Linked DNA regions of Anolis sagrei. The protein of the gene in region 2 purifies or fractionates together with the protein of the main gene of each other region. This does not show direct contact. Links are inferred from orthologs where the notes say so. Each region holds a gene or a part of one and is shown on either strand. Other genes may lie near its edges.

Region 1 (7,914 bases), on a different chromosome or scaffold from region 2:
TTTTTTGAGTTTTAGCCAGAGGCACTGAAGTTAAGCGTCTCTGAGCTTCTGTGTTTTTGTTGCATTAAACTGTACTTTGGAACTAATACTTTGTGTGGCCCCTTTAAGGCGTCTGTGTCTCGACAGTTTGAGTCCACAGTGATCTCTGGATGTAGGTGGACTACAACTCCAAAACCAAAGGACACTGCCCACCAAACCCTTCTAGTGTTTTCTGTTGGTCATTATTATTATTATTATTATTAACTTTATTTATACCCCGCAAAATCTCCCGAAGGACTCGATGCGGCTTACAAAGGCCAAGGCCGCAACAACAACATACAAATATAACATAAAACTCATAAGCAAATAATAAAACATCAAGCTAAGACAATAAAACACTAAAAACAACGACACATGATGCATTTAAAATCTAAAAGGCCGGGCCAAATGTAATGGACAAAATTTAAAAGTGCTGAACTTGACAGGAGGTATGTAGAGGTTTGTTGGAGGTAGGTTCAATGTGCAGACAATCCTAGTCTCTAACAAAGTGCATTTGGGACATGATGCCAGGAGTTTCCTAATCTGGAAAGGCACACTGGAACAGCCAGGTCTTCAGGCTCTTCCTAAAAATTGCCAATGTTGGGGCTTGTCTGATGTCCTTGGGGAGAGTGTTCCAGAGTCGGGGGGCTACCACAGAGAAGGCCCTGTCCCTCGTCCTCACCAAACTCGCTTGCAACGCAGGTGGGATCATGAGCAGGGCCTCTCCAGATGATCGAAGGGAATGTGTGGGTTCATATATGGAGATCTGTGTGCCAAGTTTGGTTCAATTCCATCGTTGGTGGGGTTCAGAATGTTCTTTGATTGTAGGTGAACTATAAATCCCAGCAACTACAACTCCCAAATGATAAATGGTGGTCCCTCGGCTGTGGAACACCCTTCCCACGGACATTAGACTAGCACCATCTCTAATGATATTCCGCAAGAAATTGAAGACCTGACTGTTCAAGCAGGTGTTCGAATAATTAGTGCAGTGATTGGTAATGAATATAGGAATGGAACAACGGAAGACAAATTTGGATTATGTTTTGGATGATGACACGACGCTGAATGGTTATCATAGTAATGGTGTTAACTGTGTATAGTGTTAGGTTGTGAATTGTTTTTATTCTGTAGTTTTGAATCTTGCTGTTCTTGTTTGTTGTACACCGCTGTGAGTCGACCCCGGGCTGAGAACAGCGGTCTATAAGTAAAGTAAATAAATAATAAAATGATAAATCAATTTTTTTGAGTGAAGGACATACATTGGGTTGTTAGATGTCTTGTGTCCAAATTTGGTGTCAATTCGTCCAGTGGCTTTTGAGTTCTGTTTATCCCACAAACGAAGATTACATTTTTATTTATATAGATATTATATTGAATTGCTTTGTATTGTTGTTATTGCTTTTCTGTTGTGATGTGTTGTTGGGTTTGGCCTCATGTAAGTCGCTCCGAGTCTCTTGGGGGGATGGTGGCGGGGTATAAATAAAGTTTTATTACATTATTATTATTATTATTATTATTAGGTTCTTGAAGGTTTTTCAGGCTATAGGGCCATGTTCTAGAGGCATTTCTCCTGACGTTTCGCCTGCATCTATGGCAAGCATCCTCAGAGGTAGTGAGGTCTGTTGGAATTAGGACAATGGGTTTATATATCTGTGGAATGGCTGGGGTGGGGCAAAGAGCTCTTCCCTGCTGGAGCTAGGTGTGACTGTTTCAACTGATCACCTTCATTAGCATTTGAAGGCCTGCCTGAGCCTGGGAAAATCTCTTGCTGGGAGGTGTTAATCTGTGCCTGGTTTTTTCCTCTCTGTTGTTTTGCTGTTGTAATTTTAGAATTTTTTAATACTGGTAGCCAGATTTTGTCCATTTTCATGGTCTCTTCCTTTCTGTTGAAATTGCCCACATGCTTGTGGATTTCAATGGCTTCTCTGTGTAGTCTGACATGGTGGTTGTTGGTGTGGCCCAGCATTTCTGTGTTCTCAAATAATATGCTGTGTCCAGGCTGGTTCATCAGGTGCTCTGCTGGTTGAAGTAGTCTGCAGTGCCTTTCAAGTTCCTTGATTCGTGTTTGGGCAATGCTGCGTTTGGTGGTCCCTATGTAAACTTGTCCACAGCTGCATGGTATACGGTAGACTCCTGCAGAGGTGAGAGGATCCCTCTTGTCCTTTGCTGAACGTAGCATTTGTTGGATTTTCTTGGTGGGTTTGTAGATTGTTTGTATGTTGTGTTTCCTCATCAGCTTCCCTATGCAATCAGTGGTTCCCTTGATGTATGGCAGGAACACTTTTCCTCTGGGTGGATCTTCATCTTTACTCTTGTGGCTTGTTCTTGGTCTTGCAGCTCTTCTGATGTCTGAGGTGGAGTCTCCATTGGCCTGGAGAGCCCAGATATATAAACCCATTGTCCTAATTCCAACAGACCTCACTACCTCTGAGGATGCTTGCCATAGATGCAGGCGAAACGTCAGGAGAAATGCCTCTAGAACATGGCTCTATAGCCCGAAAAAAACCACAAGAACCTAGTGATTCCAGCCATGAAAGCCTTCGACAATACATTAATTTAAATACTTTCACATTACCACAATCAGTGGATTTTGGTCTCCACAGTTTTAGAGGAACCCATTTTTCTTTTCAGTTTTACCTTCGATGCCAGGCATGAGCCAACTTGGGCCCTCCAGGTGTTTTGGACTTCAACTCCCACAATTCCTAACAGCCTAACGGCTGTTAGGAATTGTGGGAGTTGAAGTCCAAAACACCTGGAGGGCCCAAGTTGGCCCATGCCTGGCCTAGGCTCTCCCTTCTTTCAGGTTGGGCCAGGAAGGCTCTGTGTAATCCGGTCTCACGTTCTTACCTATCCGGTAGCTTGTTCTTCTTTCCCATTTCCTTTCCTCAGGCCTCTGCTTCCAACGAGGCGCTTCCCTCGAGTCCCTTCCTACCAAAGTCGGTTAAACATCCGCTTCCGTTTTTTTGCGCCGACGTGCTGGGGTGACGTCACCGCGTCGGGACAGGGGAGGCTCGGCGTCCAATCAGCGTCGAAGGGGGAAAAAAAAGAAGCGCGCATGCGCAGAAGAGGCTGAGGCCTGCCTGGCTGGCGGCCGGGGCTAAAGTGAGAGTCTCGCCTGCTTGTTTTCCTCTTCCCTCAACGTCTCTCCGTTCAAGCCCCGTCGGGATCGAGGCCGCTCTTAAAGGTGAGTAAAGGCCTTTGGGCAACTCTGCACATACTCAACAGCGGCCCTGTTCCAATATCATGCTCTCCTGACGTTTCGCCTGCATCTGTGGCAAATGGCACCTTCAGAGGGTCTTCAACAGAAAGGAGGAAACCATGAAATTGAACAAAATCTGGCTACCAGTATTTAAAAAACTCTAAAATTGCAACAGCAAAACAACAAAGAGGAAACAATCAGGGACATCTAATCACCCCTCAACAAAAGATTGTCCCAGGCACTGCCAGTCCATCAAATCCTAATCAAGGTGGTCAGTTGAAACATTCACACCTACCTCCAACAGACAAGAGTTCTTTGTCCCACCCTGGACATTCCACATATATATAAAAACCCAATTTTCTTTGCTCCAACAGACCTCACAACCTCTGAGGATGCTTGCCATAGATGCAGGCAAAACGTCAGGAGAGAATAGCATTTCACTATTGGCTGCTACTTCCCGGCGGATGCCAGGTGGTGCAATACCGGCTAAGCAGTGTAATTTCTCCAGTGGTGTAGGGCGCAGGCACCCCGTGATAATGCGGCATGTCTCATTAAGAGCCACATCCACTGTTTTAGTGTGGTGAGATGTGTTCCACACTGGGCATGCATACTCAGCAGCAGAGTAGCACAGCGCAAGGGCAGATGTCTTCACTGTATCTGGTTGTGATCCCCAGGTTGTGCCAGTCAGCTTTCATATGATATTGTTTCTGGCACCCACTTTTTGCTTGATGTTCAGGCAGTGCTTCTTGTAGGTAAGAGCACGATCCAGAGTGACTCCCAGGTATTTGGGTGCGCTGCAATGCTCCAGTGGGATTCCTTCCCAGGTAATCCTCAGAGCTCGGGATGCTTCTCTGTTCTTGAGATGAAAGGCACATGTCTGTGTTTTAGATGGATTAGGGATCAGCTGGTTTTTCCTGTAATAGGCAGTAAGAGCACCTAGAGCTTCGGAGAGCTTCTGTTCAACCATCTCAAAGCTCCTGCTTGAGCAGTAATGGCACGATCATCTGCATAGATGAAACTCTCTGTCCCGTCTGGCAGTGGCTGGTCATTTGTGTAGATGTTGAACGTGGATGGAGCAAGCACGCTCCCCTGAGACAGGCCATTCTTCTGTTTCCGCATACATTGCGATGTTTTGGTACTATATTTGTAAATACAGTAATTAATACATAACGTTACTGTGTTGAACTGCTTTTTTTGTTGATTTGTCGTCAAACATTATGTTTTGGTGCTTAATTTGTAAAATCATAAGGTAATTTGACATTTAATAGGCTTTTCATTAATCTGCCCTTATTATCCAACATTTTTGCTTATCCAACATTCTGCTAGCCCATTTGTGTTGGATAAGCAAGACTCTACTGTACTAAAAAAAACCCTCTAAAATCAGAACAGTAAATAAAGAGCAACACTCAGAAAATATGGAATAATCAGGGCCAGTTTACCCCTCCCAACAAAGGATTTCCCCAGGCAGGAATCAGCCAGGTGAGTAATTGCAGCATTCACACTGGCCTCCAACAGACAAGAGTTCTTTCTCCCACCATGGGCCTTCCACATATATTGCTTAGTTTCCAATATACCTCACAACCTCTGAGGATGCCTGCCATTGATGTGGGCGGAACTTCAGGAGAAAATGCTTCCGGAAGCTGGTCATACAGCCTGAAAAACTCACAGCAACCCAAGGATACTGCTGTCCACTTCTCAAACATTTGGATTGAGTCACCTTATGGACCCAGGTAGTCCCATAGTATAGGATTTACTATATACATAGTAAATATACATAGTTATATATATATAAAACGGCGCTCCATGCAGTCATGCCAGCCACATGGCCTTTGAGGTGTCTACGGACAATGCTGGCTCTTTGGCTTAGAAATGGAGATGAGCACCACACCCCAGAGTTGGACATGACTGGACATAATGTCAGGGGAAAACCTTTACCTTTTATATGCATAGGAATGCACAATATGAACTCCTGGAAATCTTGGGAGGTGCTTCTGCAGGCCCAAACTCATAGCAGATCCTAAATTTACAGACCCAGGCTCCAATCTGTATCAGCAGCCCCTCAGAAATAAACAGATGTGTGAAGAAGCCAATTTCTTGGTGCTTCTCTCTTCCTTTCCTGCCAGGGACCAGGATGAGGGGCAAGAGGAGTCCTTTGCCCCAACGGCGTTAGCAGCCAAAGACGTGGAGACATGTCATACCGAGGCAACGAACGCGATTTCCAGACCTCTGCACGGAGAATGGGGACCTCCCTGCTTTTCCAGCTGTCGGTCCACGAGAGAGAGCTGGACCTGGTCTTCCTGGATCACAGCTATGCCAAGCCCTGGAGTGCCCACCCAGATGCCAGCAATGCCCGCCCTACCCGCCTGCTCTTTGTGACACCTAAGAGGCACCAAGACAGCGGCACCATGTAAGTGTCACTCGTCTGTCTCGCTGTCTGTGCATGTTGACTTAGGAAGATCTCTTGACTTAGAAACCTACAGGATCCCCAATCCCAATCTTACAAATTCTGGGAAACTGTTGCTGCTTAGATTGAATCAGTCCATCTGTATTGTATTTTCTCTTTTTTTTTCTTGCTTCCACTTTTCCAAGTGTTATTGTCTTTCCTAAGAAGTAGCATTGTCTCATTCTATGACCAAAATACCGAGAATCCAGGCTTGGTTTGTTCTCGGACCCATATGTTTGTCTTTTTTAGTGGTCTGTGGTCTCTTCTAGCTCTACATTTCAAATTATTTGATTCCCCCCCCCCCTTTACTGTCCAATTTTAAATTCCACAGAGAAATCACAAATATGATTGATCCTCACTTCCTTATTCCGTTCTATATCTGCTTAGTTTAGTCTAAAGCCCCCTGGGGAGTCACAAGGGGGTGTCAGAGGAATCGCCAAACACCATCAGAAAACACAGTATTTTCTGTTGGTCATGGAGGTTCTGTATGGGAAGTTTGGCCCAATTCTATCCTTGGAGGAGTTCAGAATGCTCTTTGATTGTAGGTGAACTATAGATCCCAGCAACTACAACTCCCAAATGCCAAGGTCTATTCCCCCCCCCTTTTTTTGGTCGTGTCAGGAGCAACTTGAGAATCTGCAAGTCACTTCTGGTGTGAGAGAATTGGCCGTCTGCAAGGACATTGCCCAGGGGATGCCCGGATGATTTGATGGGTTTTTTTTTTATCATCCTTGTGGTAGGATTCTCTCATGTCCCCGCAATTGGGAGCTAGAGCTGATAGAGGGAGCTCATCTGCCTCTCCCTGGATTCGAACCTGCGACCTGTCGGTCTTCAGTCCTGCCGGCACAGGGGTTTAACTCACTGCGCCACCGGGGGCTCCATTATTTTCTCCAGTATTCAAATTTGGACATATCGGCTATTTGTGCCAAGTTTGGTCCAGATCCATCATTGTTTGTGCCTACAGTGCTCTCTGGATGTAGGTGAACTACAACTCCAAAACTCAAGGTCAATGCTCACCAAACCCTTCCAGTTTTTTTGTTGGCCATAGGAGTTCTGTGTGCCAAGTTTGGTTCAATTCCATTGTTGGTGGAATTCAGATTGTTCTTTGATCACAGATTAACTATAAATGCCAGCAACTACAACTCCCAAATGACAAAATCCATCCCTCTCCAACCCCACTAGTATTCAAATTTGGGAGGATTTAATATTTGTGCCAAACTTGGTCCAGTGAATGAAAATACATCCTGCATATCAGATATTTACACTAGCCGTCCCCTGCCACGCATTGCTGTGGCCCACATGGGGGTTCTGTGTGGGAAGTTTGGCCCATTTCTATCATTGGTGGGATTCAGAATTCTCTGTGATTGTAGGTGAACTATAAATCCCAGCAACTACAACTCCCAAATGTCAAAATTCTATTTCCCCCAAACTCCACCATTGTTCACATTTGGGCATATTGAATATTCGTGTAGGGTTTGGTCCAGATCCATCATTGTTTGAGTCCACAGTGCTCTCTGGATGTAGGTGAACTACAACTCCAAAACCAAAGGACACTGCCCGCCTTCCAGTATTTTCTGTTGGTCATGGGAGAACTGTGTGCCAAGTTTGATTCAATTCCATCGTTGATGGGGTTCAGAATGCTCTTTGATTGTAGGTGAACTATAAATCCCAGCAACTACAACTCCCAAATGACAAAATCATTTTTTTTAGTGAAGGACATACATTGGGTTGTTAGGTGTCTTGTGTCCAAATTTGGTGTCAATTCCCCCAGTGGTTTTTGAGTTCTAGTAATCCCACAAACGAACATTACATTTTTATTTATATAGATTACGATTCATAACAGTAACAAAATGAGAGTTATGATGTAGCAACGAAAATACTTTTTATGGTTGGGGGGTCACCACAACATGAGGAACTGTGTGAAGGGGTCACGGTATTAGGAAGGTTGAGAACCATTGGTTTAGTCCATGGTGTGTTGTATACAGACATTATGTCCCAGAGGTTTTCTTGTTAAGAGGACATTAACCAGCTGGAACCAGTGGTTCTTTTCCCTGAAATGGCAATGTCTGTTTCCAGTGAGGCCGATGTCCCTATTGATGTGGAAACGGTGACCCCTACGCCAGTTCCACTGTATGACAACCAGAAGGCCCGGACGGTGATGAACGAATGTGAAAGACACGTGATCTTTGCTCGCACTGATACGGACACCCCGCCTCCCCCAGATGACTGGGAGGAACATATGAACAGGTAA
Region 2 (7,761 bases):
TATGCCCCCTTCTTTTTCAATAGCTTCTCTAATACTTGTTAGGTGTGCTGTCCTTTAAGCTGCAATACCCAATCCAGTCCAAACCAGAAATGTTTCCCTTGTAATAGCTGTGCTCAAGATGCTGGAGATACTTACCACACAGTCTGTAAGTGTCCCCCATTGCTCAAAATGATTGCGAAGGCTCTCATCTGTTGTCTCAAAACTGAGGCCCCCAATAAACAGTTTGCGCAGCTGTTCAGGCTCCTTCGGGGACTAAAAGAGAAAAAAGCAAGGTGATAAAACAACAAGTAAAATTGCCCGGATGGTTCTGCAGAATATGTTCACTCAACTGTTCGCCGTCTACATTTTGTGTATTTTAGTACTATCCTCTCTTTAGGAATATCCAAGTCCTCTAAAATTACTCAATGGTCACCCTTTGCCAGAACAGAGTCCTAGAGGCATTTTCACAGGTAAAAAGAAAATAATTGTGATTCTCCCATTTCAGAGGGGTCCTGTATCTTTAACCCCTGTGAAGGCAGAGCTCCTACTGTAAATGAAAAGAAACACTCTTACCATGCCACAAGCATTTGTGAAACTAGCATGTTACTTACTCTTGACTACAAAGTCTTAAACTTCATTGGGAGCACTTAGGCACAGATTCCAAATATTACAGATTATGCCACTGTTTCTTTAAGTACTTTCTGGGTTTCTCTCAATTTCTACACTGAAACAAAGAGTGTTTTGCAGCATAATTTTGTAAGAGAGTTGAAAATTACAGCATATAGGTTTTGCTGACAATTGCCTCATTTCCTGTGTTTTCAGCACTTCTGGCACACATAATTGTCAGAATAATTAAGTTGGGCAATATAAATAAACTGACTAGCAGACCTGTTAAAAAACCCAGAATTGAGCCACTGAAAAAATAAACATACCATTGGGGGAAATTATTGCATTTTTAAAGACTCCACAGCAAATAATTTTTAAGGCATGCTACAATGAATGACTAAGGATATATACTATTGCTCAAGACTGCTGCCTGCAAATACAAGTGTTTTTTCTGGTCTATGTAAATATAGTGCAGAGGATCCACAGAAAGAGCACCATGGGTCTTGGCAACATGGGAATATGTTTTGCTTTCATGACCATGCACCAGATAACAGAAGCATAAAAAGCAGATTTTGGAATGAACTGTGTAACGACCACCTCGCCAACTTAGAAAGGGTGGAGTATGGAAGAAAGGAAAGGGATGTAATGGCATTCTAAAGGCTGAGGAAAACAGGTTGGTAGCATTAGCTTTTGTAAATTTGAGCATTATTATTTTATTTATTTATAGTCCACTCTTTAGTCACAAAGGCTCGGTGTTTTCCAAAATATTAATTTACTTTTACAATTACAATATAAATACGATATAATACAATAAGATAAGATGGAGCGATGTCTGGCTGGCTCCAACTCAGTGGGGAGAGCGGTCTCTCAAAAACTGATGGATAGTCAGGTAGTCTTTAAATTGCAACAAAATTGCAGATTGATATTCCAAAACCAACACAGTTCTCTCTAAATACTACAAAAGCAGTGTAACTGGCTGAATAATTAAGGTGCTTGAGTCCAGAATGCTTCTCAGGCAAGATGTCCATCTACATGGAATTTATGTAGTTTAATAATTTAATTGCTATTTTATTTATTTACTATACTATTTTATACCCTGCCATCTCTCACTCCGAAGGGGACTCAGAGCAGCTTACAAGTTATATATTACATTATTAGCATAGTACAATGCTAGCATCATATATTATTATATTGTACTACACCATTATGATGCAAAATTATTAGTAATATTACATGTACTATATAATTATTATATTTTATTATGTTACTAGCCACCCCCTGCCACGCATTGCTGTGGCCCAGTCTGCGTTTTGCGTGCATGTGTGTGTGTATATATATATATGGTTTGGCAAATGCGTTGTAATGTATTTTTTCTCTTTTAAATTCCCTTCTGCAGTGTTTTTCAGTGTTTTTATGAGTGATAGTCACTCATGGGCCTGATAGGTGTATTGTGTCCAATTTTGGTGTCAATTTGTCCAGTGGTTTTTGATTTATGTTAATCCCACAAACGAACATTACATTTTTGTTTATATAGATTATACTGTATTAGTATTATATTGTATTACATTATAATACTACAATCAATATTATAAGTACATATAATATATTATATTGCCTGTGTCTCAATGTTATGGAATCCTACGAGTTGTAGTTTGGTGAGGCACCATCACTCTTTGGCAGAGAAGGCTGAAGACCTTACAAAAGGCTATCTCTCAGAATGATACTGAACCGTAGGAGTTAAAGCTGTATCAAACTGCATAATCTTCGACACAATGAATCAAATGGGTTTATTCAAGTTCGAAATGGAATCAATGAGGATTCTGGGCTCAAGAGACAAAGCGAGCGATCACGTGGCTCAGCCCTTTCCCATCCCCCGCACAGAGCTCAAGGGGGAAAAGCTGTGCTCTACGGCGCGCATGCGCTCCAGAGAAAGCCTGCTGGACTGCACAGCGCATGCGCAGCCATTACAGGCGCCGGGGGAAAGCTTAGAACGCCACGCACTGTAAAAGATGGCGCCTGCCCCGGGAAGCCAGCGCGCATGCGTAGTGGCCGGGGAAGGTGGAGGAAAAGCAGGCCCAAGCGGCAAGGGGAAGGAGGCCGAAGCAGAAGCTCAAAAATGGCCAATAGGGGGGAAAAAACAGCCAGCATTGGCGCGGGGAGGATTTTTAACACTTACTTCGTTAGGAGACATATCGCACCCGTAATCGGACGATCCCTAAAGGCAAAGGAAACATAATTCCACAAAAACAAGCCACAGGTTTGGTTTCGAAACAACACGACACAAACGCCCGCGGGCGGACCTTACCTCAGACTTCGACATGGTGGCGATATTCACTCGGCGAGGCCTAGCCCGGCTTCCTCCCCAACGCGGCTTCTTCCTTCTTCTGCAGCTGAGGCGGAAAGAGGCAGAGTCAGCAGCGCCCCGGCGCTTCACTACTAAGGCCCGCCCCCGGCCAACCACGATTGGTCAGTCTCCTAAGCCGCTTCCTCTCCCATTGGGCAGCGGGCAGATTGGCCGCAACCTATTGGACAACAGAATAGTGACCTCGCCCTTTTTCGCACGGCTTGCCCACCTCCGTTCGCTTGCTATTGGGTAAGATACTTGTCACTCCTCAATTTTGTCCTCCGCCATTTCTGAGGCAGCACCCGCCCCCTCTCCATGGTAGCTTTCCCTTTATTGGCCAATTTAGAACGCATCTCTCTTGTGATTGGCTTACATACCCGGATTCCATTTTTCCGGTTGGTCAGCTTTCTTTTCATTCATTTTAACAGAGGCGGGAATTAAGTTGGCAGCCTTAGAACGTTTTTCCTTTAACGGTCCCAAGAACTGTATGCAACGCCTTTGGCGAAGGTGGCAGCGGGGGTTAGAATAAAAGAGGTGGAAAGGGCCATTCAGATCTATAAAAGCTTGCTTCCAGGCAGCAACAGCAGCAGCAAACGGTGAGGCGGGGCCTACAAAAGCCACGCATGCGCCTTAAGTTCACTCTTGTGTCAGACAGGAGGAAGGGAGGGAGGGACGCTGGGAGCGGTGCGCGCGCCTCACGCCAGCGCGAGAAAGGGGCGGAGGGGGGGGGCAGCTCGGCGCGTGCGCACTGCGAACCTGTTTTGGCGGGCGTTGCGCAGAAGCGGCGGTTGTGAGGGGGTGGGGGAAGTTGGTTCCGCACCGAGCCGTTACTTTTTCCACTCTCCCAGGTGAGCGACCACGGGAAATAACTCGGCGGGCGGCGTGCTAGCGAAAGCCGGTCCTTTAGAGGGAGGGGGCGTGGTCTCGGCGTGATTGGGAGCTTGCCTGAACCGCACTGTGGTACCGTTGGAAGAGGGGGCGGGGCCTGAGGGTGGGCGGGGCCAGCTTGCATGAGTGACAGCCTGGCGGGTCGAAGGGTGTGGAGGCGGCCCGAGCGAGAGAATGCTGAGAGGGAGGAGGGAGGGGTTGACCGAGGGGGCGGGCGCTTCTCATTCTTTCGCGGGATTGGTGGAATGCCTCTCGAGCGACGTGCGCGCTCTCCAATCAAGAGGAGTGTGGGTGTGGGCGGGCGGAGTTTGCGGCTTTCCCGCCAGGAACCTCCTCCCTCGTGGAAGTCAGTTGCCCTCTTGTGGTCTGTGCTGCTCATAAGGGCCTGCTTTTCAATAATAGTAATCATAATAATAAGAAATCAAAGTCTTTTAAGTAAAGTCCATGATTCAGTGAATGATCGAACTAGTTCTAATGCTCTTCTTGTTCAATCTCAAACCTTTTTGTATTTCCAGTATATCCAGGGACCTATGAATTGTCCATGTCCTTTCAGTACCTCTGCGGTCCGCCAACATGGCAGACCGTTCAGCCCTTCAGATCTTGTGCGTGTCTCTTGTCTTTTGCTCAAGAAATTGGCAATGCCTGCTAACGTTTGCCGGGGCTGCCCTCATTGCAAAGCGATAGTTTAAAAAGCTCGGAATCCCATAAACTTGGGTGACTTAAAAACAGAAAGGGCAGCGGTTTTCCCAGGGTCCTTCCACACAGCCATATAACCCAGAATATTAAGGCATAAAATTCCACAATATCTGCTTTGAACTGGGTTATCTAAATTCACACTGGGTTGTAGGTTTTTTCGGGCTAAATGGCCATGTTCTAGAGGCATTCTCTCCTGACGTTTGTCTCACTACCTCTGAGGATGCTTGCCATTGATGCAGGTGAAACGTCAGGAGAGAATGCCTCTAGAACATGGCCATATAGCCTGAAAAAACGTACAACAACCCAGTGATTCCGGCCATGAAAGCCTTTGACAATACATTAAATTCACACTGCAATATAATCCAGTTCAAAGCAGATAATGAGGGATTTTATTCAGCTGTGTGGAAGGGGCCTGAGATGATGCTAAATTTCAATGGAAATATTATTTCAGCAATACCCATCTTAACGAAAAATAATCTGTGTCATGTATTTTTGTAGTTTAACCTAAGAACTGAGACTTCTTCAGTGCTGAGTAGGTGGGTTTTTAATATTATTATTTATTGACTGTGTTTATACACCACTTTTCACAGGAGCCCCCAGTGGCGCAGTGGGTTAAACCCCTGTGTCGGCAGGACTGAAGACCGACAGGTCGCAGATTCAAATCCGGGGAGAGACAGATGAGCTCCCTCTATCAGCTCCAGCTCCTCATGCGAGGACATGAGAGAAGCCTCCCACAAGGATGATAAAAACATCCAATCATCTGGGCAACATCCTTGCAGACGGCCAACTCTGTCACACCAGAAGCAACTTGCAGTCTCTCACGTTGCTTCTGACATGACAAAACAAACAAAACCACTTTTCACACCCCGGGGGGTGGGGATAGGACTCAAAGTGGTGTATATCAAGTAATGGCAAGATTCAATGCCGAGATATATACACACCAAACATAATAACTAAAACAATACATATAACTATAAATGAAACCATTAAAATCATATTAAACAGAACACAAACATTTAGACAATTGAAACATAGCTTTAACATCTTAATGTTAAAATCACATAATCCAAAATTCAAAAATACTCATCGCAACCCTTATTGGAATATTTGGGGAAAGAAAAAAATATTTTGGTGGGTGGAATTTCACTCTTACCTTGCCCAGCCTTGCGTTAAAGTGTATTTTGAATTGTTTAATAGTTTGATTTTACTTTAATAGTGACTCTCAATGTTTTTTTTAAACTATTGTGATCATTAATTTGTTAGCTGCCTTCAGTCCTAATCTTGGGGGAAAGGCAGAGTAGTATAATAATGATAATGCAATTCAAGGGAAAAGAGAAGCAATAGATTTTAAATGTATAGGCAGTTGCCAGATAAATTAGGGTCTGGTTGCTTGAGAGTTACAATTTAAAATAGGTCTAGCTAATACTACATACTGTAGTATATCATATGCTCTGTATTGACTTGATATTCATACTGAAATACAGTAATTAAAAGCAAATAAAGCCAAACATAACATCACAGTTTTGCTGTATTTTAAAAATTGCTTTGTGTATACAGTATTACTTATTTATTTCAGGAATTTCTATACCGCCTTTCTCCAGCAGACCCAAAGTAATTCACAACATCATTAAAACATACAGTATAATATAAAACCATTGATTAAAACAACCCAAAAGAGTTAAATGGATGCTCCCTTATAGAAAATTAAAAATTACCATTAAATTAAAAGCAGTCTAAAATTTCCATATGACAATAAAATACTACAAAATACTAGGCTTCTGTTGCAGTTCATTTAAAAGGTATTTCAAACAGGTGGGGTCTGATCTGATTATTTCTTTGATAGCTTGAGAGTTCTGGTTGCTTGAATTCCAGTTAACTGAAAGTCTATTGTGCAATGTATAGACCCATCTACAATAGTCAAACATCATATAGTTATACTCTAGTTATACAGTATTGTAATATTTAGTGTCCCATTTTGACTTCTCCATTCTTACATTGCGACCCAAATTGAATTGAAAAGTGTGCCTGAAATATAATAACTTGAAAATCTTACCTAGTCTTGTGTTTCTCCGCCAAGACTTCGATAAAGTTAGTTATTGCTAAGTGTTGTGTAATCCATCAATAGGTGTGGGGTGTTGAAAAAATGGTCAGGAATGTCCTGAAGTAGACTAGAACAATGTATGTGCCTGTAAATTCTGTAATCTTCTATGTGGGAAAGCATTTACTATGAGGAGCAGCATAAAGAAATATTCTTGTGCAAGAACTAAGACCTGGAACACAACAAATATTCCTTTGCTTGACTTTCTAAATTTTGGCAGGTGGATTCTTTTGTGATCATTTCCTCCAATGTTATTTCTGCTTTGAATCTTATTTTTATTGAGTGTTGTAATGTAATACAGATTGCGCATCACTTAGCTGGAATTCCAAAATCCAATATCTTCCTCATAGGTGGCTGAGATAACATCTTTGCTATCTGATGGCTCAGCATACATAAGCTTTGTTTCATGCACAAAAATAATAAAAACGCCATTCTATATAATTATCTTTAGGTTATGTGTATATTTACAGGCTATCTCATTAAGTATATATATGCAAATGTAAGTATTCTAAAATCCAAAACACTTCTGAGCCCAAGAATTTGGATAAGAGTTATTCAATCTGTATAAAAGGGGGCTAAGGGTAATGAAATGACTCTGCCACACGCCCACATAGGAACTGATTTCAATGAAGTAAGTATATCAGGAGCAAGTACTGATCTTCATGGGATCAATGCCCATAGTTATTTGAGTATAATGCGTCATTGAATGTTATGTGCACCTTCGTTTTGAAGGTATGCATTACAAAAACAGGAATTGCTATCGAATGTAAATCAAAGTAGTAGTGGTTGTAAAAAGGCTGTTGGGAAGCTGTGCCTTCTGTCTGGCCTTCCTACCAGTTTTTTCATGGCTACCATCAGCTTCCTACCAGTGTTTTCACAGCCATTGCTGCCCCTCTCTCCTCTTGCCCAGCAGTGCAAAAAGGTTTAGGTATGTGATTCATTGGCTGTTCCAATATGCTTTCAGTGATTGATTACATGATAATCTCTGACCAAACTCTGCATAAAATGCCCTCAGAAGCACTTTATTTTCTTGTTGTGCAATTAAATCTTACCTCATCCCCCGGAACCCCTCCTTGATATTTTACAGTGTTTAAAAATTTTAATTCCTGAATTTGGCCCTGCCCATGGTGATCATTTTTGATGTCGTAAT
Region 3 (7,761 bases), on a different chromosome or scaffold from region 2:
ATCTGCGCTGACAAAATTGTCAGGAGGCCACCCTACCTGGATTTGTACACATTATTCACCAATACAATTAGGAGCCCCCGGTGGCGCAGTGGGTTAAACCCTTGTGCTGACAGGGCTAAAGACTGATAGGTCGCAGGTTCAAACCCCAGGAGAATGCGGATGAGCTCCCTCTATCAGCTCCAGCTCCTCATGCAGGGATATGAGAGAACCCTCCCAACAAGGATGATAAAACATCAAAACATCCAGGCGTCCCCTGGGCAACGTCCTTGCAGACGTCCAATTCTCTCACGTCAAAAGCAACTTACAGTTTCTCAAGTCGCTCCTGACACGGCAAAAAAACAAAACAAAACCCCAATACATTACACAGTTCTAGACACTTGGGAAGTGTCTTGACGTGTGATCAAATATAAAAGTCAGCTTAGTGATCTTATTTGCTGTGTACTAATCTTGTTGTGTATCTAACAACAACAACACTTTATTTATAATCTGCTCTATCTCCCCAAGTGGACTCAGGGTAGTTTCCACACAAAAAAGTGGCAAACATTCAATGCCATTAATGAAAACACACAAACCAATTCAAACCAATAATACGATAACATCACTTATAATAACTAACCAAAGTTAATAAATGAAAGCAATATAAAATAATTACTTAAAAGCATAATAAAATCTCGTTGCTCCCATTCAGAAAGGTATCATTCACTGTCTTGTGATTTTCCAAATCCTGCTGAATAAAGATTCAGCCTAAGGCTAGGCCATTTTCAGGAATGTCACAATACATATTTTTTTCTGATCCAGAAAGAAATTTTATGAGTTCCAAAACAACTAGGCTGCAATTCTAACTTGATATATTAGGAGATAAATAGAATCCAAACTGCCTTAAATGGTCAGTGTTGATCAGTGGTTCTCAACTTCTGGGTCCCCAGATGTTTTGGCCTTCAACTCCAAGAAATCCTAACAGCTGGTAAACTGCCTGGGATTTTTGGGAGTTGTAGGCCATAACACCTGGGGACCCATAGGTTGAGAACCACTAGTGTAGATGGCACTTTAGAAGTACATTTATTTTATTGTGATTCGTTTTTCAAACTTTTGGTTTATGATTATAGGTTGTACATGATGTCTTCTGCTTATAATTTTCTATATTTTTACCCCACTCTATCTCACTCCAAAGGGGACTCAGAGCGGCTTCCAGATTGGCAATAATTCAATGCCATAACAAACATAATCATACAAATACAATATACACCATACATTAAAATCAGGAGAAAAGCAGAAAAAATAGTAAACATATCAGTACATTAACACAACACAAGATTCAAAGTCATAATTCATAATGTGACTTAAAAGAGTCCACAGTATTGTGACTTAAAAGAGTCCATTGTGAGCCGCCATGAGACCTTGGGGAGAGAGGATGGGATATAAATAAAGTTTATTGTAAGTGTGACCTCAACTGACTTACATTGTAGAGCGGATGTGGGCAAACTCGGGCCCTCCAGGTGTTTTGGACTTCAACTCCCACCATTCCTAACAGCCTCAGGCCCTTTCCTGCTTAAGCGGCTGAGGGGGAAAAGGAAGGGGCCTGAGGCTGTTAGGAATGGTGGGAGTTGGAGTCCAAAACACCTGGAGGGCCCAAGTTGGCTCCCTACCTACTTTAGAGTTTGACAAAACTTCAACTGCCAGGGCTCAATGCTATAGAATTGTAGCAGCTGCAGAGGCACCAACCCCTCTTTGGCTGGAAATCCCTTTATAGAACTACAACTCCCTGGATACCATAACATTGAGCCAGAGCAGATGAAGCTAGTTTAATTTTATTGTAAACGCGCCTTCTAACTGTTTTGATATTTGCTGATGCACTGTTTTTAATATGATTTATGTTTAAAGTGTGGTTTTTTATTATTAGTCTCTCCAGGGCTAAATCCCTGGAGAAACTACAATGCCAAATAATAATAATAATAATAATTGGCATTGTAGTTTCTCCAGGGAATAAGAATTATTATTATTATTCTTTGGGCATTGTAGTTTCTCCAGGGAATAATAATAATAATGGTGTATATTGTATTTGTATGATTATTCTTCTTCTTCTTTGGGCGTTGTAGTTTCTCCAGGGAATAATAATAATAATTATTATTATTATATAATAATAAATATATACCATTATTATTATTATTATTATTCCCTGGAGAAACTACAACGCCCAAAGAATAATAATAATAATAATCATACAAATACAATATATACCATTATTATTATTATTATTCCCTGGAGAAACTACAACGCCCAAAGAATAATAATAATAATAATAATAATAATAAAACTACAGCGCCCAAAGAATAATAATAATAATCATACAAATACAATATATACCATTATTATTATTATTATTCCCTGGAGAAACTACAACGCCCAAAGAATAATAATAATAATAATAATAATAATAATAATGGTATATATTGTATTTGTATGATTATTATTATTATTCTTTGGGCGCTGTAGTTTCTCCAGGGACATAGCCGGGGGGGGGGGGGAGAGTGCGACAAATCCCTGGATTCCACAGCAATAGTGACGCAAACTGGATTAAATCGACAGTGTAGACGACCCCTTATTTCCCTCTGCTTTGATAGTGACCAAGAAAGGCCTAACGTTCAGCCTGGGAGGCCCCCTAAAGGGAGCTTTCGCGTGGCGTCCTTTGCTAGGCCTCATCCACTCACCCGCCGCGGTCTCGGTCGCGGCCTCGGTCCCCGAAGCCTCGCATCCTCGAAGGCCGAGAGTCAGTCGCCGGCGCGGGGGTTGAGAAAAGGACAACAGGCCGGCCTCGAAGGAACCAACAAGCAGCTTCTGTCTAAATCCTTTCAGAAGCAGCCTTCGGAGCTTTATTTCCTTGACTCGAGAGGCGCTTGGGGTCAAATTCCGGGCCGACTCGAGCCAGGCGCCGCTGAGGAGAACCTCCCCTGTCTTTCTTCTCCGGCCTGCTGACACAAAATGGCCGCCGCCGCCCGAGCTCGCCTCACTTTACGTTATCAGCCCAGCCCACTCTTGCGTAAAGCGCGTCTCTGAATAGCCAATTGTGCGCTAATTGCGCATTCAACGGCACTTTCGCCAAGTTGCCCCTAAGATACGCTGACAAAGTCCAGGCTAACGCCACCTTTCTGCCTATTCTCGAATCATCGAACCCCGGAAGAAACACAACCGCCTCCGCAATCTGCGTAAGCTCCCTGTGCCGGTTTTAGCGTAAAGAAACTAGTTTCCGGCGTAGGAACTGCTGGGAAGGAGCACAACTCCGCACTCTCTGTAGCGTATTTTTGTTTAAAGAATACTAACTTCCAACTGGACAGGCAAGAGGCGGGACCGGCTTTGTGGAACAATGAACTGTTCTCTTAGACTTAGGCCACAAAGGAAGATATGGAGACTTCACCCCCAGCTTTCTCTGTTTGGCCCTTCAAAAATACAGAAAGTCTGTACATTTAAGTTCACTTCTGTCTAGCTATTAATGTGCTTTGATACATCAATCAGTGAAACAATCCCAGAAAAAGCAGCCGAGTTATATATTTGTGTCTGTAGCCAGGATGACTGGTTTCTCCTTGTTTCTAAGGAACTCAGACTTGGTTTTTGTATAGTTCATCCGCAGCTGAAGTAAAGTTTTTTTTTATTTCTACGACTGATTCTTTAATAATGCTAATAACAATGGCAATAAAATGCTTTTTTCACAATCAATTTCTGAAATTAAAAAAACCTACTTGTGTATATTGGATTGCTGTGAGTTTTCCGGGCTGTATGGCAATTTTCTGGAAGCATTCTCTCCTGACATTTTGCCCTCATCTTTGGAGGCTTTTAAACAGGCTGGATGGCCATCAGTTGGGGGGTGCTTTGAATGCAATATTCCTGCTTCTTGGCAGGGGGTTGGACTGGATGGCCCATGAGGTCTCTTCCAACTGTATGATTCTATTATTCTAGGTATCCTCAGAGATTGTGAGGTACACATCCTCAAAACAATATACAGCTCTGGTCCAGCGTACCTGTCCGAAAGTATCTCCTACATCCCACCTTGGAGTTTAAGATCTTCTGGGCAGGCTCTGCTCTCGGCCCCGCCTCTGTCTCAAACACGTTTGGTGGAGATGAGGGACAGGGCCTTCTCGGTGGTGGCCCCCCGCCTGTGGAATTCACTCCCCGGGGAAATTAGGTCATCATCATCCCTCCTCACCTTTAGAAAGAAGATAAAAACGTGGATGTGGGACCAAGCCTTCGGGTAATTAAGCAGAAATGACAATTGACAATGTTGACAATGGCTTGGAAATGGATTATGGATAAGTTAAACAGAGTACTCAATCATAGTATACAGCTAGTTAAATGACCACCAGACTGGTAATAACTCAGTGGACTCTAAGTATATTGTTTTAATGTTTTATGTTTTTATGCTTTTAACTATTATAATTATTGGTGTTTTGTATTTTATTATGCGGCATCGAATTGTTGCCAGTTGGAAGCTGCCCTGAGTTGAGGTTGAGAAGGGCAGGGTAAAAACATTCAAAATAATTAAAATAAATAAATAGTGCCTGCCATAGATGTGGGCGAAACATCAAGAGAAAATGCTTCTGGAACAGGGCTGTACTGCCCAGAAAATTCATAGCAAACCAGTGATTCCGGCCATCAAAGCCTTTGACAACATACTCCCATATATATTTGCATTTTCTTTGTGGCTTTTTCTTTTCTTCTTCCTTTTGCCTCATATGCCTTGTCCATCTCCCTTTCCTTCTTCTCTTGCTTTTTCTCATACATCTTCGCTTTTATTTGCTTGCTCTTCCTTTTTTCCCCCTCATGCTTCTTTCTTCTCTTCCTTTCTTTACTATCCTCCCCTCCCCTCTTCCTTTTTTCCTTTCTCTTCACTTTTTTCTTTCTTCCCGCCCTTCTTTCATTCCTTTCTTCCTTCCTTCCTTTCTCATACTTTCCTCTCCTCTCTTATACCTTTTTTCTATTCTGTTATCCTTCCCCCACTACATGTTGAAAATAGCAATCTCCTACCAGTTTCCTACACTAGATATTTGTTTTTGTATATAATTGAGATTGCTGGCTATATTGTATGTATATATTGGTATGCAGTTTTGCCCTTAACTCTATGTTGTTAGAGGTTGTGGGAGGGACTAGAGATCACGTGACCCTGTTCTTAGAGTGTTCAGAGTGGGACTCCATTTCAGAATGCGTTTGAATCAGAAGTCTGTTGGAGTCAGTTAAGTCAGTTAGAATTATTATTATTCTTTGAAACATTTGTATTCTACCCTTCTCACCCTGAAGGGGACTCAACAGCAAATATTCCATGCCGGGACATAAAATAACTATAAATATACACAAACATTAAAATCATTCATATCTACTTTTAAATCAGCTGTTCAAAACCGTCTCGAGACACCATGCTGGCCCTGGTCAGTGAAGTTCCCTATTGTTGCATCATTGCACTGCCCCAAAGGCTTGGTCCTACAACCAGGTCTTTAGCATCTTTCTGAAGGACAGAAGAGAGGGGGCTGATCTAATCTCATCAGGAAGGGAATTCCATAGCCGGGTGGCAATAACTGAGAAGGCCTTCTCTCTCATCCCCGCCAAACACGCCTGTGACAGAGGCAGGACCAAGAGCGGGGCCTCCCCAGAAGATCTTAGTCTTCATGTTGGTTCATAAAGGGAGATGCATTCAGACTGGTAAACTGGACCAGGGTGTTTAGGGCTTTGTAGGCCAAAGCCAGCACTTTGAATTGTGCCCGGTAGCAAACAGGCAGCCAGTGGAGCTGACGTAACATGGGAGTTGTGTGCCAAGTTATTAACCTGGCTGCCTCTTGTTGGACTATTTGAAGCTTCCAAATAGTCTTCAAAGGCAACCCCATGTAGAGTGCATTGCAGTAGTCTATCCTGGATGTAAAGAGAGCGTGGACCACCATAGCCAAGTCTGACTTTCCAAGGTATGGGTGCAACTGCCACACAAGTTTTAATTGTACGAAAGCCCCCCTAGTCACCGTCGAAACCTGAAGCTCCAGGCTCAGCAATGAGTCCAGGAGAACTCCCAAGCTGCGAACCTGCGCCTTCAGAGGGAATGTAACCCCATCCTTGCAAATGACCAGGAGGACCTCTGTCTTGTCTGGATTCAACTTCAAATTTTTCGCCCTCATCCAGACTGTCACAGCAGCTAGGCATTGGTTCACGACCTGGGCAGCCTCCTTAGCATCTGGTGGAAAGGAGTGCAGTTGGACATCATCTGCGTACAGATGGCATTGAACTCCAAAACTCCAGATGATCTCACCTAGCACATTCATGTAGATGTTAAACAACATGAGGGACAAGACTGAACCCTGTGGAACACCACAGTTGAGAAGTCAGAAGTCAGTTGAGGCTTGAGTGTTGTGGTGAGGGGATTGGGGTTTCAGAGCCTGAGGGAGTGGTGAATGAGTTTGAAAGTGGAACTGTTTTGGAGTCCAGCAGACAGGGAGAAGACCTTTCACCCACAAGGAGCATAGCAACTCCTGATAAAGACCTAGCAGACCAAGATAGCTCATCCAAGAGAACAGTTGAGTTAGACAGGGATATCAGGCTGGAACTTAAGGGAAAAAAACATCAGGTGCGGGAAATCCAAAAGAATAATTGAGAAAGATGCACAGGCAAAGTTTCACAAGCCAGAACCTCAAGGTCAAAAATGCCTTCATGTTTTGCAGCTCTTAAATTAGATAGTGTCTCATTGAGAGTTCAGATCAGGCAACGCTGCTTAATAGTAAGGATGTCAAGTCATGTTTCCAGTTCAGGTTCCTGGGTGTTTTGATTCATGTTTTAAGTTCTTATAGCCATGGTTTTTCTGGATTCATGTTTATATTATGATTCTTGTTTTCCTGTACCATTTGGATTATTGCCTTTGAAGTGTTTTACTCCTCACCAGCTTGGTTGGGTTTTTATATATTGACTACCTTTTCTGATTATCTGTTGGATTTTGCCTTTCTTACTCCTTTGGGGGATTTTCCCCTTTTTATATGTGCTCTCATCCGACTGGTATTTTACTACTGCTTTTGGATTTCTGGTTTGTGCTAATGGCAAGGTGAACTCTATCTGGGGTACAACGTCGAGTCAGTTGGGAGTTAGAAGTTAGTTGAGACAGTAAATGTCAGTTAGAGCAGGAGTGTAGATAGTATGCTGAAGTGAGGTGTCAATTAATATATGAGTCTGTTTGCAGCAGATGTACAGTATAGTACAGTTTTAAATATAATTCAGTTAACATGAAACCAATAAGCAATGTACCTGTATGCTAAATACATGAAGTTTGTAAGTAAATAAAATATGTTAACTTTTAACAAAGACTACTTTATTTTTTGGTCTCTTGAAAGTATGATTTAAAAGCAATATATTTTATGGGAAAGTAGATATATTTTTGGGCTATTGAAAATAACACTTCCGATGAGCTGCTATATTGATGCATTGGCATATCTTTGTTCCTAACAGTTCAGAGAGAGAACCAGGTATATCAGCCTAACAGCTAGGAAGCCTAAATTGCCTTGCATAAATACTAGTGTATATTTACTACTAGGGAGAAGACTGATTCAAGCATATTTTTAACTCTTCTCAGGAAGATCATACTTTACAAAAAGGTTATAATCTCTAACAAGGTCATGCCTTTCCAAACAGTGTGAAAACCAATTAATTTCCGAAAGGGTCATGCTTCCAAAAGCCTGTGGAGATTCCTAGTTTTCCCGGTACTTTCTTCCTTCTCTCCTTTTCTTCCTCCCTTCCCCTCATACA

The links. Proteins that work in one complex are often made in the same cells at the same time.
Region 1: the proteins of HNRNPA1 (region 2) and DUSP11 purify together in Homo sapiens (affinity purification with mass spectrometry; 3 studies listed by BioGRID and IntAct, counting the BioPlex papers as one, with this or other methods). This does not show direct contact. The link is inferred for Anolis sagrei from reciprocal best matches to the Homo sapiens genes HNRNPA1 and DUSP11.
Region 3: the proteins of HNRNPA1 (region 2) and DDX17 purify together in Homo sapiens (affinity purification with mass spectrometry; 4 studies listed by BioGRID, with this or other methods). This does not show direct contact. The link is inferred for Anolis sagrei from reciprocal best matches to the Homo sapiens genes HNRNPA1 and DDX17.

Annotation. Positions count from the first base shown.
Region 1 is NC_090027.1:22,756,910-22,764,823, forward strand, and holds the start of DUSP11 (RNA/RNP complex-1-interacting phosphatase), read right to left. Parts: upstream 3,001-7,914; 5' UTR 2,898-3,000; coding exon 2,869-2,897; intron 1-2,868. Other genes in the region: KANSL3 (KAT8 regulatory NSL complex subunit 3), read left to right, coding at 5,410-5,627, 7,740-7,910. UniProt on the Homo sapiens protein: Possesses RNA 5'-triphosphatase and diphosphatase activities, but displays a poor protein-tyrosine phosphatase activity. In addition, has phosphatase activity with ATP, ADP and O-methylfluorescein phosphate (in vitro). Binds to RNA.
Region 2 is NC_090022.1:188,554,380-188,562,140, forward strand, and holds the start of HNRNPA1 (heterogeneous nuclear ribonucleoprotein A1), read right to left. Parts: upstream 3,013-7,761; 5' UTR 2,906-3,012; coding exon 2,891-2,905; intron 2,801-2,890; coding exon 2,762-2,800; intron 253-2,761; coding exon 136-252; intron 1-135. UniProt on the Homo sapiens protein: Involved in the packaging of pre-mRNA into hnRNP particles, transport of poly(A) mRNA from the nucleus to the cytoplasm and modulation of splice site selection.
Region 3 is NC_090025.1:163,996,516-164,004,276, reverse strand, and holds the start of DDX17 (probable ATP-dependent RNA helicase DDX17), read right to left. Parts: upstream 3,001-7,761; 5' UTR 2,753-3,000; coding exon 2,709-2,752; intron 1-2,708. UniProt on the Homo sapiens protein: As an RNA helicase, unwinds RNA and alters RNA structures through ATP binding and hydrolysis.